Linked DNA regions of Astyanax mexicanus. The protein of the gene in region 1 binds, or shares a complex with, the protein of each later gene. Links are inferred from orthologs where the notes say so. Each region holds a gene or a part of one and is shown on either strand. Other genes may lie near its edges. The genes, in order: mcm5 and gins2.

Evidence for each region.
Region 2: mcm5 (region 1) and gins2 share a complex: the UniProt entries of both Homo sapiens proteins name them as parts of the CMG helicase complex. The link is inferred for Astyanax mexicanus from reciprocal best matches to the Homo sapiens genes MCM5 and GINS2.

What each region holds. Positions count from the first base shown.
Region 1 is NC_064426.1:29,521,033-29,528,310, forward strand, and holds the start of mcm5 (DNA replication licensing factor MCM5), read right to left. Parts: upstream 3,015-7,278; 5' UTR 2,875-3,014; coding exon 2,702-2,874; intron 1,606-2,701; coding exon 1,479-1,605; intron 1,368-1,478; coding exon 1,239-1,367; intron 1,114-1,238; coding exon 941-1,113; intron 812-940; coding exon 656-811; intron 1-655. Other genes in the region: gcat (2-amino-3-ketobutyrate coenzyme A ligase, mitochondrial), read right to left, coding at 4,803-4,954, 5,155-5,276, 6,425-6,596, 6,845-6,927. UniProt on the Homo sapiens protein: Acts as a component of the MCM2-7 complex (MCM complex) which is the replicative helicase essential for 'once per cell cycle' DNA replication initiation and elongation in eukaryotic cells.
Region 2 is NC_064416.1:12,865,955-12,873,363, forward strand, and holds the start of gins2 (DNA replication complex GINS protein PSF2), read right to left. Parts: upstream 3,123-7,409; 5' UTR 3,002-3,122; coding exon 2,912-3,001; intron 2,266-2,911; coding exon 2,151-2,265; intron 453-2,150; coding exon 353-452; intron 5-352; coding exon 1-4. Other genes in the region: emc8 (ER membrane protein complex subunit 8), read right to left, coding at 5,902-6,061. UniProt on the Homo sapiens protein: Required for correct functioning of the GINS complex, a complex that plays an essential role in the initiation of DNA replication, and progression of DNA replication forks.

The DNA.
Region 1 (7,278 bases):
TAAAACCAAAAATCTAAAACTAAATTAAAACTATAAATCAAAATGGATTATAGTAGGCCTAAAATGAGTCAGATCAAAGGTGGACACACAATATTTATTAATAAATTGTGTCAGCTCCATTATGTAGGCTTAAATTACTGAACATACGCTAAGATGACTTATTTTTTAGCTCAAAATAAATTTTTCACTAATAAACTGAAACACAAAGATTTGTAGACCAAATTTCCATTACTTTCATAAAACATTCTGGACATTTATATTTTTTCCCAAACTTATCCAGGCCTGGAAATTGCCATTTTCAAATTCCATGACTTTTCCAGGTTTTTCATGACCATATCAGCCCTGAACCATTGTTTCTTTTACATCAATATTCAAGTCCAAACCGTGCAAACAAAACTTAGAAAAAATAAAATTAGCTACTTTTTAAGAATATAAAGCAGCTTTTATACAGAACAAGGTGAAAACATAACCTCCTTGTATTTCACATAAGGAAATTTCAACATCACTGCCACATAAGAGGTTTACTGAAATGCCCTCTGGCAGGTTCTATGCATAAAGATGTAAAATCTCAATTACCCCATAAAAATCAGACTAAAACTGTAATTCAATTAATCAAATTTATTTGATTAACCTCCCCGCAGCAGTGTGCACATACCTGTCGCAGTAGAGCTGCATGTGGCGGGGCATTTCTCCATGAGGCACAGCATCAGGAGACTCCTGCAGACGGAGGGTCTGGAAGTCCACGCAAACACAGCGGTCTGGGATGATGAAGTAGGGGTCCACAGGACACTTCACACGGCCCGCCTGCTCCCTGCAGACCAAGGAGGAGCGTACGAGGTTTACTACACAAACTGAGGTCTGATGTGAAACAGTGAATGATTTCGCTTTGAACAATATTAATAGCCGGATACATAACCGAAATTAAAAAAAAAAGACTCACGTGTTGCACTTGCGGGGCAGAGCATAGCCCTGTAGTCCAGGGGGCAGAGGGATGTTACTGATGACCGCACGACAGCCTCGGCACTGCAGACACACTCTGGTGGCTTTGGCTCGAACTGCTGAGGAGGAGATGATGATACCAGGGATCTTCACCAAACGAGACACTTGCTCTGACTGTGGAAAATGGGAAAAGCAAAAAATATATATGAATAAACAAAAATAAGAGATAGCAAGGATGGCAAGCAGTCATAGGTAAACATATATACACTGCAGAGTTGACGAGCCCCCAGATATCTTACCTTCAGACTCCGTATGGACGCAGGATGGGCATCACTCTTCAGCATGACCTGGATGTCCTGCACGGTCTCTTCTCCTACAGGCCGTGGGCGAGTGACCTCATCAGCTACTTCTTGGGCTGCCTCTTCCAGCTACCAATAAACAGAGCAGATCAATGCACAATGAACAAAAACCAAGAACTGCATTTTTACTCGGAGATTCTGTAGAATATACATGTCTAATTTTACACTGTGTGTACTCACCAGAGGAAGGTTCTCTGTGGGCAGCTTATACAGACAGTCTGACAGGTCCTCATCAAAACTGGCCAGGTCCTCCATCTCCACCTCCACCCAGTACTCTCCAAGAGTGTAGTGCCTCTTGAGCTCATCTCTGTGGGAAAAAAAAAAGAAAGTCAGCACAATAAACAAAAGAAGAAGGTGGGCTAGGTGCATTTCTGTTAATAAATTTATTTATTTAGATTAGTATTAATAAAAGTTTTTAAATAATTTTATTTTTATGAACATGTATAAATACAAATTAGAAAGTAGTCACAATTAAATATTTGCATTTTTTACATTTATGAAAAAAAAAACCTTGACAGATCTCCACTCCAGAATACAATGGCTTCTTATTTCAATAAAAAAAAATAATTAAAATAAAAATATAGAGGAGAATAGAAAAGAGGGAAGGGTGTATTATTCATTGTCTATTATAGATTTATTGCTGTCTATATAGGTTAAAACGGATTTTCCCCCTACAGCCCCTTAGTGAAATTTTCTCATCAAGTCTCTAAGCCACACAGAAGTTGGAGGGTGTTTTGATTTCCGGTGTAATAAAAGTCTCCTACGAGCAAGAAGAGTTGTAAAGGCAATGACTATTTCGTGACTTTCATCAGATAAAGTTTCACCAAAAAAAAAAAAAAAAAAAAAAAAAAAAAAAGACAGCTAGTGGGTTAGGCAGTAATAAAAAAGTGTTTGTCCTAATACTTATTTTGTTAACGTTTCATCTTTCTGGTGTGCTTTGGTATAACTTTTACCACTGCTGCTGTAACACTGAATTTCTCCACTAGGGGTCAAATAAATAATTCTTATAGCTCTTGTTTTCTTAATTTTAAATCACATACTCTTCACAATATGACAACATTCTGCAGTAAGCGAAGCTTTAAAAAAAAATATGTTATGAGATATTAGACAGCTAACGCTAAATTAGCTAGCGTTAGCTCAGTTTAAAAAAATGAGCTAACCCTAGCCAGGTCAACCAGTTCAGTAAGCAATAAAAACGTTTTAATTCCAAATAAAAAGTGCAGAAACCTCTTATATAAGGTTTAAAAATGTATAATTTTAGTCACGATTTTCTGTGCTGGCACAGGTAAAAGTAGAGTTAACTAGAGTTATCCAGCACCACCATATCTAACGTTACACAAAGGGTCAACAAAAGATAATCAGAAGCCTCTTTCAGATTAACTCAGTTTTATAAGTAGATTTACCTGTATTTGTAGGTAAATCCAGTGCGGTCCGTGCCGACTCTGAACTGCCTCAGGAACTCCCGAAAGCGCTTTTTAATCTGACTGCGCTTCACAGAGCCTTCATCCCCCACTCCTTCTCCTCCTCCTCCGAAACTGTCACTGTAATAAACCCCGGGATCGTCAAATCCGGACATTCTGCCCTTTTTATAAGATTACAGACTATTTAAAAGAAAGAATAATCAAAAACTGATCAATATCAGCGATTGTCCGCGCTCCGCTCGCCTGTATACACACAGCTTCTTCCTCTATGGACAAAGTGCCTACCACGCTGATCAGTTTCGCGGCAAAACGCCGAGACTCCGCCCCCTGGTCAAATTCAGCCGCGCTCATTGGAGCTGCGCGGGTATACGTCTTATAAAAGGCGGGGACAAATGTCCGCCGTGGCGGGAATTTTTTTTTTTGGCGGTATGTAACAAAGGGAGGTAGCTAAGAGTTAACCTGGGGCTGACCCAATATGGCGTTTATGCTGTTGCACCAATATGAGGAGTTTAAATAACTTACAACACTGACCCACTTCTTATGAATAATGTACACATTCTCTACAGGCTACATACAGTGCAATCATAATATACATCAGTTAACATGGCCATTCAGACATTTAGTCTGAAGTTGTTACTGAGAATATCCATACCAAATGGTGAGATCCATGTTTGTTTCTCCTATTTTATCCAGATAATCACATTAATTCTATTCTTAATGCACAGTTAAAACTACCAAGCATGCCCACAATTAATGCCTGTCCAACAAACTACTACTACCCAATAATACTACAGAGTACTACGCTATACGTTCCAGTGTTCCCCAATACCAACCAATATTGCTGAATACTACCCTACATAACCTACACTATCCTATAATACTCTGTATTACCTATGCTATCCTATACTACTCTATATTACGTACACAACCCAATACTACCCAATATTACTCTACACTATTCTATATTACGTACACAACCCAATACTACCCAATATTACTCTACACTATTCTATATTACCTACACAACCCAATACTACCCAATATTACTCTATACATTATAGTATCAATACTACCCTGTATTATCCACACTATTCTATATTACCTACATTATCATATACTACCCTATATTACCTACACAACCCAATACTACCCCATATTACTCTATACTACAATACTACCCTATATTACCTACACTATCCTATACTACCCTACATTACCTACACAACCAATACTATCCAATATTACACTGTACTGTATTACACAAACTCCAGTCAGAGAAATATACTGTAAATAATGTATACTTAAAATATCAGCTCATGATATATATTGATACTGAATTATTGTCCAGCCTTACATTAGTTTTGGTAATTAGAGCCAATGAAAGCACCTGTTTCAGGAAAGATATTGCAGTGGGTCCAAAATTTTAAACTTTAAAGCGATTTAATTGTCACCAAGGTAAATCACAAGTCTCTAAGTGTCAGCATATAATTAGTTGAGTCTTGCTAGATTTGCTTTTATCATCTGTTTGGTGTTAAGTCTCTGCTTGACATTCAATTTTTTTTTAAACTGCGTTTGATATTATAACAGTCTTCTAAAATATTTTTTTTCTTTTTTACAAGTGTGTGGATGGCTTAAGGACAATAGTATGGCATTACTCTGCAAGCACTGAGAAACTAGCAGGCTCACTGTATGCAAGACTGTCACTCGATTCTTTTGGAGATTTACAATAAAATGTTAAAGAGTGGATATAGCACCGGATTTCATTCTGATACTGGGTTTGCAACATTTAAATTAGCTTCAAAGCCATTTAGTGAAAGGTTAGCATGAGAAATAACTCTTAGCAAAGACTGACTAAAGGATAAACTGTGATGATTATAAGGAAAAAGGCAAGGAAACATAGTTAAACAAAAGCATTTATTAGTGCAAAACACTTTGATTTAAATTTCAGCAGCACTAAATAACATTTTTAAAATCTGTTTTTTTAGTGTAAAGCTTTGCTGTAACAGTCCATTTACTAGAAGCAGTTCTTTCTCCATGTTGAATCTATGATCCTTGAAAGGCACTTGTTTCTATGAGTGTTACGTTATGATATGACGCCGTGCTTCCTGCCAGTCTGTATGAACGCGTCCACTGTACGGTCGATGTCTGAGTCGGTGTGTGCAGCCGAGATCTGGACTCGGATACGGGCTTTTCCTTTCGGAACCACGGGGTAGGAGAATCCAATCACATACACGCCTAAGAGAAAAAAAGGAAAAATTACTTTCTGATTGTTGTTACATTATCTTCTTAAATTACACCACCATGTTTACAGTTTTATTTGCAAACGTGTATTAAGAGTGCAATTATAAGTATCTGTTAATTTATCTCAGAAAACGGCAAATCAGAACAGACTGCTTTCCAACCTGAAACTGCGGAAAAAATTTTTTTGGTCTTACCAAGTTTAAGCATGTCGTCAGCCATTAATGAAGCCAGACGTGCGTCTCCCAGCATCACAGGGCAGATGGGGTGAGCGGCACCTGCAATGGTGAACCCTGCCTGGGTCATACCGTTTCTAAACCTGATGGATGAGAAGAGAAAGAGGCGTTTGTATTTGAGAGTTGATACTATGAATAACTGATATTTTTATGTAATGAGCAAAACTTAGAACATATAAATCACCATTGATTTACCACACTCATTGCCATTAGATTAAACAGGAATAAACAGCTACTTTTAAAATTATTTCCCTTTAGACATTACTGTGCTGTGCTGAATTGTAACAAATGTACTGTGAAAAACATCATTTTTAGTTTTTACTCTTTTGGAGCGAGCAGTTACACATACTATTAAATTGGATTCTTTATTACATTCTTACTGCTTGATATACAGCATATGCAGCTTTTCGCCCCACTACCCTACCCAATACTATTCATTACTGCTCTATTTATTCCAGTATTACGCTACACTGCCCAATATTATTCTATACATTCCAGTACTACCCATTACTGCTCTAAATACACAATACTACCCTATACTACCCTGCACTACCAATACTACTCTATATGTTCCAGTGTTCTCCAATAGTATCATATAATATTCTCTACATTACCCAATACTACTATATACTACAGTCTACTGCCCAATATTCCCTAAACTACACAATACTACCCTATCACCCTAATAATACCTATCACTCCTCTATACATCCTAGTGCTACCTAATAATACCATACACTAATACCCAATACTTCACAATAATACCTTATACCACCCTATACTGGCATCTCCAGCTTATATAAGGCAATGGTGATCTGTTATGTTGCACGGGTGGCACATGAAAGGAACAAATGCCTCTATGGATGGTCTGATTATGAATAATTTGATTTGGCACATTTTTTGGAAAACTTTTGTAAATGTTTGTATAGAACTTCGATTGTAAGTTAGAAGACTATGTTAAATGCAGGCCTTTTGATTGCTTTTGTTTGTTTGTTTGTTTGTTTGCAGGCCTTAATCTGACTCAGAATATTTTTACAACAAATCTCAGTTGAGAAATATATATTCAAAGTTGTAGAGAATGTAGACATCTCTTTCTGTTCATTCTAACATTTAGCAATCTGACCATGAATAGCCCCAGGCAAACACAGCGAGCCTTTCTATCTGCAGGTCAGCACAAATCTGTAACTGAATAAACACAGCACTGAACCTCCCCTCTCTCCTTTATTCCTACCTCATGGTTTTAGCCGCCATGCTCTGCGCAATTTCATTGGAAGCCAGGAGCAGTTCCACAGCACGAGTGGCAGAGCCCACCACAGGAGGGGGGAGAGAGTTGGAGAAGAGATAAGGACGAGAGCGCTGCCTGAGAAGGTCGATTAAAGGTTTAGGTCCAACTGTGTAACCGCCTGAGAGAATAAAACTGGGAGTTATGACAAGAAACACGTGGCACTGTATATTTGCTTAATGTATATAAGCAATGCACAAATATACGCTAAGTTTAAAATAGTGTTTCTGCATACAAATTTGCATTCACAATTTAAAGACACAATAATAATTAATGCATTTTAAATCAGTTCATCTACACCTATTCTCATAATTTATATAATTTAAAATCTAAACAGCCTGACATTTATAAATTAATAATATTACTTGCCTGCTGCCCCACCCAGAGCTTTGCCCAATGTGGAGTTCACTATGTGCACTCTGTCCATCACCCCCAGAAGCTCATCAGTACCTCTGTGTAAAAAACAGAGCAACATACATTTTCCTCAATGTCTTGCCAATAAAAAGCATTACCACACACAGTGAGCAAGCGGCAGAAATCACAAGCACATGTCCAAGCAGTGGTCCTTATCGTTCACAGGACAAGGCAAAAGTCATGGGACATGATACCAGTTCCTGTCCCATTACAAGTTAGTGTATTTATCTAAAACAGGCAAATTTCACTACCCCAAACTGTTTTAGACAGTCTGACAGACAGACAGACATATATTGTACATAAGTTGATAATGCTGATTATGGTGACAGGCAGGCCTCTTTCTAGAATATAGTAAAAATATAAAATAAAAATAGTGTTTTAAAACTTTG
Region 2 (7,409 bases), on another chromosome or scaffold:
AGCACTGCATAGAGGATTATACAAACATATTGTTATATTGTTATTCATATTGTTATAAATAAGTGAAGTCTAAATCTGAAAGGCACTTTATGTATAAACAAAGCAAACAGAGTAAACCATTGAAATATTTAATATGTGACTTCTTTACAGCAGTCCAATAAGTAAATGTCAGTAATGACAATGTCAATAATAAGTCCTCAGCAACATTGTTTTTGGAAATGTTTAGAAATGGCTATCTGAAGGTTTATTAAGAACAGTCTATTCAGGTGAGATACTATTCATTGCTGTGACATACAACTCCAGAAATAAAAGTAATGCCACATTATCCATGCAGGCTTAAACTTAAACTTACTGGTTTAGTAGCAATTTGGTCAATTCCATGTAATAAGCACTGGGGATGGGAGTGAAGGTGTCCTCTTTTCTCTCCTGCTCCCTGATTTCTTCCAGTTTATCTAAAAGGCACAGAAAATTGAGAGATTACATAAAGCTATGGGAAACATGATCAAAACACAACAGGCTGTGAAGCTGTGAAAGGCTGTCAGGTAAATGTATGTTAATAGATCCCAAGCAAAATTTAAACAGGATCCAATTTGTGTTAGGTAAATGTTATTGATTGTTTATATTCATGTGAAACATAACTTCATAAGTGAAAAAAAAACATGCAAAAATGGGCATGGGCAACAAAGAGGGTTCCCAACAGTCTGTAAAGTACAGAATCAACCCAAACTTGTAACTAAATACACATTCCTAAATACAGACAAATGTTGTTGTGTATTTTACAAGACAGCTAAACTGAATAGTTATTCCTCAGTCTGGATGATCAGCCTTCCTACTTCCTAATTAATAGTGTTATGATTCTCTGTATCCCTACAATCAAAGCAGAGTAAACTTTTTTTAATGAGAATTACTTGCTTCGTTTAGAAACAGACAGATGCTAAAGTAGGAATGATTATTCTAGACCTGACTATAAGTGTCTCTGTAGTGTGTTTAGGTGCGTGTGCAGAACATTTGTATGGAGAATAAAGTTGGTAATAAAGGCTGAGCAACCATATTCTAACTGCTTCCTCTGCACTGTATATAAAAGAAAAAAAACATTCCATTTTGACAGGCTCCTTTCATCTGTAGCTCGATTTTTTATTATAAGTATTATCCTTTTGTGTCAATGTATTCCCCTTAATGTAACCTACAGTATGTCACATTGTTCACGTCACTATTTGCGTGAGCCAAGGCTCAAGACTTACAATAATATTAAAAAGGGTTCATTTTATCTGAAGGCCAGGGCGAGAAAGAGACTTAAACCTTCAATCCTAACCACTGAAAGATGTAGTGCGACCACAACTCAACTCTAGAAAGACTTTTATTATTTTATCCCTACACCAGAAATTTGTCTGCAACAGTAAAATCGCTTGAAAATAGTTTGGTGTATAGTCGGCATAAGTTTCATGTGCATTTAGAAGTAGGGCTGCAACTAGTGATTATTTTGATAGCTGACTAGTCTGATGATTTTTTTTTCTGCAATTAATCGGTTAGCCCTATTTAGAAGGGGTAACCACAAACATTGGGACAGTGTAGGGGTGTGCGATATTGTATCCTACACAATAATATTGCCTACATTTTAAATAGTGTGAAACATTGTGCCATATCACTAACCCCTAATTAAAACATCAGTGCATTACTTTTTTGCGATATTTCCCAAAAGAACAATTCACGCTGTTTTCATTTACAACTATAAATCTACTAGAGACAGACTATATCTGTCCAGTATAATTTTTTTTTCTTTAAACCTGGAAATATGGAGATATTTGGAGTGTATGATTAGTATGACATTCTGGATTATTGATGTCTGTTATAAATCTGATAAATCTTGTATTATTTAATATCTCAGTTAGGGGTGTGCCATATCATAACACATGCAACCGTAAAAATTAAAAAAATAATAATTTTGTTGTTGTAGTACCATAATCTTCTTCTTATTTTTTTTATCTGTGTTTAGTCATATCGCCAAAAATACTGTGATATTATTTTAGGGCCATATCGCCCACTCCTAACAGTGCAAGGAATCCAAAAGCTATTAAAAGTTATAAACTGTGAATAATGAATGCTTAATTATTTTAGGAAAGACCCAGAACCCCAGAGTGAGGATTGGTTACCTGCGTCCATCCAGTCTGGAGGAACTATCCTGCATTTCTGCCTCTGCTTCAAGTTCAGGGCCAGCCAGACCGGCACATCCACCGGCAGCCCGGGGTTAAACGGACCCAGATCCCCCTACAAATATACGATCACAACACAAGAGCTTATAAACAACCCGGTGTTGTGTCGAGTTGTGCTACCTTGTCAAACCGTGCTACCCTAGTGGTATTTAATTTATATAAAAAGGTCAAAGTAAAAAAAAAAAACATATTAGAAAATACTCAAAGCAGAAGCCTAGGTGAGGTAACGTTATGTGGATAGGCTAAGTTAAATCACTGTAACGTTAACGTTATCAGGTAAAATAAAAAAAGGTAAGGTCATACAACAATATTGTTTTTTTTTTATCTTTTATTGTTAATTATTATTTTTAACTGCTATTTACAGTACAAAAATGCAAAGATGATGTTTATTACCCAAAAATAAAAAGTAAGTAAGTTAATTATAGAAAGAGTACAAAAATAAACTTTTGGTCGGCGCATGCGCAGTGCCGTAAAAAAGCACATATCGATGGGTAGCATAACTCGACAGAACACCGGCGAACAGCCCCATTAACCCCCAAAACAGCGCTGCTGCTGCTGCTGTCGGATAAACACTTAAATGTATAAGTTTATAACTCGCTAAATTAACTAGAGTTAACTTAACTTACGTAACGCTAGTTAATCAGGCAGCCTCTGAGGGGAGACTATGCTAAGCTAACACACACTAAACTAACGTTACTCACCCCGATTAAATAGATCTTATCCAGGCTAAAATTCGGGATAATCTTCACCATTTCCTTCTCAGCGAGGAATTCCACCTCAGACGGATCCATGCTTTGTTGAAATATCGACGGAAAAGCCGAGAATAATCCTTAAATCCCCCGAAAACTCAGCTCCGCTTTTCCCGCGGATTGTTCAGACAGGCTGCGTGACGTTACAGCCCCGTGGTTTAGCCGGAGCCGCCCCCCGTTATATCAGAACCCGCCGCTAGAGGGAGCCAGCGAGGAAGACCTCAATGAATGGGAGTGAATGGAGCACCTCAGTTTCTGATTTTGCTACTTATAGGTATAAGTTTGAGTAAATTGAACATTGTTGTTTTATTCTATAAACTACGGGCAACATCTCTCCCAAATTCCAAATAAAAAAAAAACATTGTCATTTAGAGCATTTATTTGCAGAAAATAAGAAATGGCTATAATAAAAAAGAGAGAGATTCAGACCTCAAATAATGTAAAAATAAAAGCTCATATTCATAAAGTTTTAAGAGTTCAGAAAGTAATATTTGGTTCAATAACCATGGTCCCATAACTGGCACAGCATGTGCACTAAATGTGCTCCTCTGTCTGGTGATGGTGCTGAGCAGAGGAAGGTGTTCAGCAGCTTGCTGAGGGCTCTCCTCTCTGCCAGTGTGGTTAAGGACTCCATATCTAATCAGCTAAATTGCAAAAAAAAAATAATAATAATACAAATAGTAAATTAATACTACAAGAGATTCCTTTAATTGTAAGATTTAAAATACATTATTTTGCTAATACAATGACCTGCATATTTCCATGTTTCTTAAAAAAATGTTTTAGGCAGTAAAGGTGTTTGCATTACTGCTACTGTGAGCTGACTGGTTTTAGTTTAGTTTATTAAAAAAAATCCAAAAATGTATTGGTGGAAGATTTAGCTTATTTTGTTATTTACATAACTAATATACATGTCTGTTACACTGTGAAGTATCACAAAAACAAATAAAACAAACAATCCATAAGAAACACCTTACAATTTCATATATGCAAAATAATTCCTGTTTTGTACTTGTTTACCATTTGTTTAAAGGTTTATAACTGGAGTTAGCAATGATACAGTTTATATTTTTCGATGTTGAAGAAATTAGTTTAATTGTCAGTGTACAAATAATCAAACATTTATAAACTCTGTTTTCCATACATTTTGGACAATAATTCGTCACAAACCCAAGTGGGTTTTCTCACTTGGTCCTTTGGTTTAGCCTGTAATCACCACGTGACCTAGCCACCAGGAGGCGACAGAACTGTGATTTTGTTTTTTTTATTTTTTTTAGTTATTGATTTAGTTTTTTTAGTTTGTTGTTTTTTTTTTTTTTTTAAATAATAACCATGATTTGGAAATAGAAAGTTTTATACTCCTGTAGAAACTCTCTTTATTGCTGAGAGAAATAATAAAAAATGTGATTCTGTGTCGAAAAGGGTGCACAGTACTGCAAATAGTACATTCCATCATGATTTACTACTGATAGTTTAGGTATGCTTTCATTGGTTATTTGAAATTTATAAATGCAGTTATTGTGGCTGTGTATTTTTTTTCATGTTTGTGATGGTGAGAATCTACATTCTATTTCTAATTTTATATTGCTTTTATTTATAAGCCATCGCTGCTCTTTTGTGTTTAATTTCATTGTTAGAGTTTTTAGTTCCTGTACTGCTTTTCAACTGGTCATGCTCCTGATTCCTCAAGTAAAAACAAACGATCCAAAACGACATACACAGCGACACAATACAATAAATAACCAGTATGACTGAAAGCAATACTGTGGAAAAAAATCAGTGGACAAATACATCCATGTTGCTGGTTCTTGTTTTAAATACCCATAAGACACAGTGTCAAAAAAAGAATGTACAAAGATTTCTTCAAAAGATTTTATTCTTACATTTAGTTTTACAAAAGCTAATTTCAATCATCTCAATCATATTTTAATAATGATATTAATAATTATATTAATCCTATCAGTCCTCAGTGAATATTACTGAATTACACAACTTCCAAATCAATCATTTTAACACAAATATCACCTGTGCCTTATTAAACTAAACTCATATTTGGTAGAGCATCAAAAATTGCTTACATATTAAGACTAATCTTCTTTTAAAGTTGCATCTTAAAAGAGGTATATACATTAAAAATATTAGTGAAATAAACAATTTTCTTTAACATAAACTCTGAACGATTATTTATTATCTCTGTAAGGCTACAGAATTCAGGGAAAACAAACAAGCAATTACATTTGAAAAAAAAAAACACATCTGAATCATTCTCTAGCATTTACAGTTGTATTGTGTATGGATATTAAAATAAGTCCTTCAAGCTGATGGCTTTACGCTTAAATGGACCTTATTTGCATTTAAGGTGGTAAATAATCTTGACCAGCCACTTCAGCTGAAATGGGAAAAATACGCAATGCTGCAATTTCCATCCCATTTTTAAAGGATCTGTGGTTGTGTTTCAGATTGATTAATAAAATTCAGAAATTAAAACACAAATCCAACCAGGTTAGTATGTAAGAAAAGAAAAGTTGGATCTGTGTTGATTCAAGTTATTTTGCTCAAAATAAACAATAAAGTGAAGTGGAAAATTAAGCTTTGTTAGTAAAAGAAAACTTAACGACGTGAAAAAAGTAGAACTGATCGTAATCTGCTATAAACCACCAAATTAATAAGGTTGTGCGTCAAATGGATGCATATAAATTGCTGCCTGACAACAGAAAAAAAGAAAAACAGACCAAAATATAAATCATGCCATGAAGGTCAGAATCATCTCAGACCTTCATTACACATGTTGTACCAGTGTCCTGCTTGCCCTTTAGAAATGCGTCCTTTCCATCAGCTTTTCCCATTGGGAATAATCTTTCTATGGGACTGAACTCAGTAACAATACGCAACCCATTTTGGCATTGATGGCTTGAACAGTACAGGAGATCTCCTCGACGGCTTCAGCATAGATGCAGCACAGATTTGTTGATTTCAGGATTTGTCCAGTCGTTCCTGAGGTCATCCAGGTGGTTGTCAAAGTCTATGAGGTTTTCATAGGACCTGTTTTCCAGGAGGGCTGACGTGATCTTCTGAGCTTCTGTCCAGTCTTCAAAAGAGTCTCTGAAATGAGATTCAAAATCCACAGTCAGTCATATGCAGATACTTATGCAAACTCTTGTAAAATGTTACTCAACACATTAAAAGATTCTAATTTAAAAAGCACTAAAACTACCCTGAGATTAGAGCTGGGCGATATCGTAAAACGATAAAATCTTGAAATTCTGCAAATTTATATGCAATTCTTGATTACAATTTAGATGTTTTTAGTTCCTTATGATACACATCAACTGATAAGACAGTTTTAATCAGTTTCTATTTTAGGATAACATAATATAAATAAATAAACAAACAAACAGCATTTACAGCTTTTTTTATTTATAAATTTAATTTATATTTTTTCCCATTTTCTCCCCAATTTAGCACAGCCAATTATCCAACCCACTCATTAGGACTCCCCCTATCACTAGTGATGCCCCACCTGCGACCTCCGCTCGTAGTGGCAGCGCTTTAGTCTGCTGGACCGCTTGGCGCCCAGCATTTACAGCCTTATATCAAGTATACAAACATTCATGTTCAAGGGAGTCAAAACTGTGCAAGCTCTAAATAAGATACAAACCTAACCCACTTTTAGTTAAAGAAAACTGAAACATATGAAAATAACTGTAAAATACACCGTATGAGAGAGTTCTTTAAAGGTATCTTAACAGAAACACAAGCCTATTACCTAAGATTCCCTCTTCCAGGCTCTAAATGTACATATCTACAATCTCGATTATCCTATTTTGAAAATCACATTAAAACAGTAATTTGATTAGTGTTAGAGTTAGAAGAGTTAGAGGCAAATCACACTAGTATATCTCCCAAAAATTCAGGGAAGTACCAGATTTGTGACCTTAATATACACTTTTAATCATGACTAACCACAAAATTAAAATATAAAAATATTATTTAATTTTGCCAACCTTACATTTCTTATTTAATTTACAATTAAATGTATTTTATCAAACACTTCACAGAATATTAGTTATGTATGTTTAGTGGGCAGACATTTCCTTCTGTAACTCACATTTTAACTGTGTGTTACGTTGAAAGTGGTACTCTATACTCTAAACATGCTTAGTCGTTTATTTTTAAATATAATGGTTTAATTTACTTTTGTTGGAGTAGTTGTCTACTGCACAAGGAAGGCTTTCTACCAGATTTTAGCACACTGCTGTGAGGATTTGATTGCATTCAGCAACACGATATTTAGTAAATCAGGATGATCAACACATCCACATCTGCCCAACTCTAAATCTATAAATTATTAGATGGAGCATAAATATTCCAGAGAACACAGTTCTGCCACTGCTCTACAGCTCAGTGCTGGGGTCTCTATAGCCCTCTAGAACACACCCATCATTAGGCA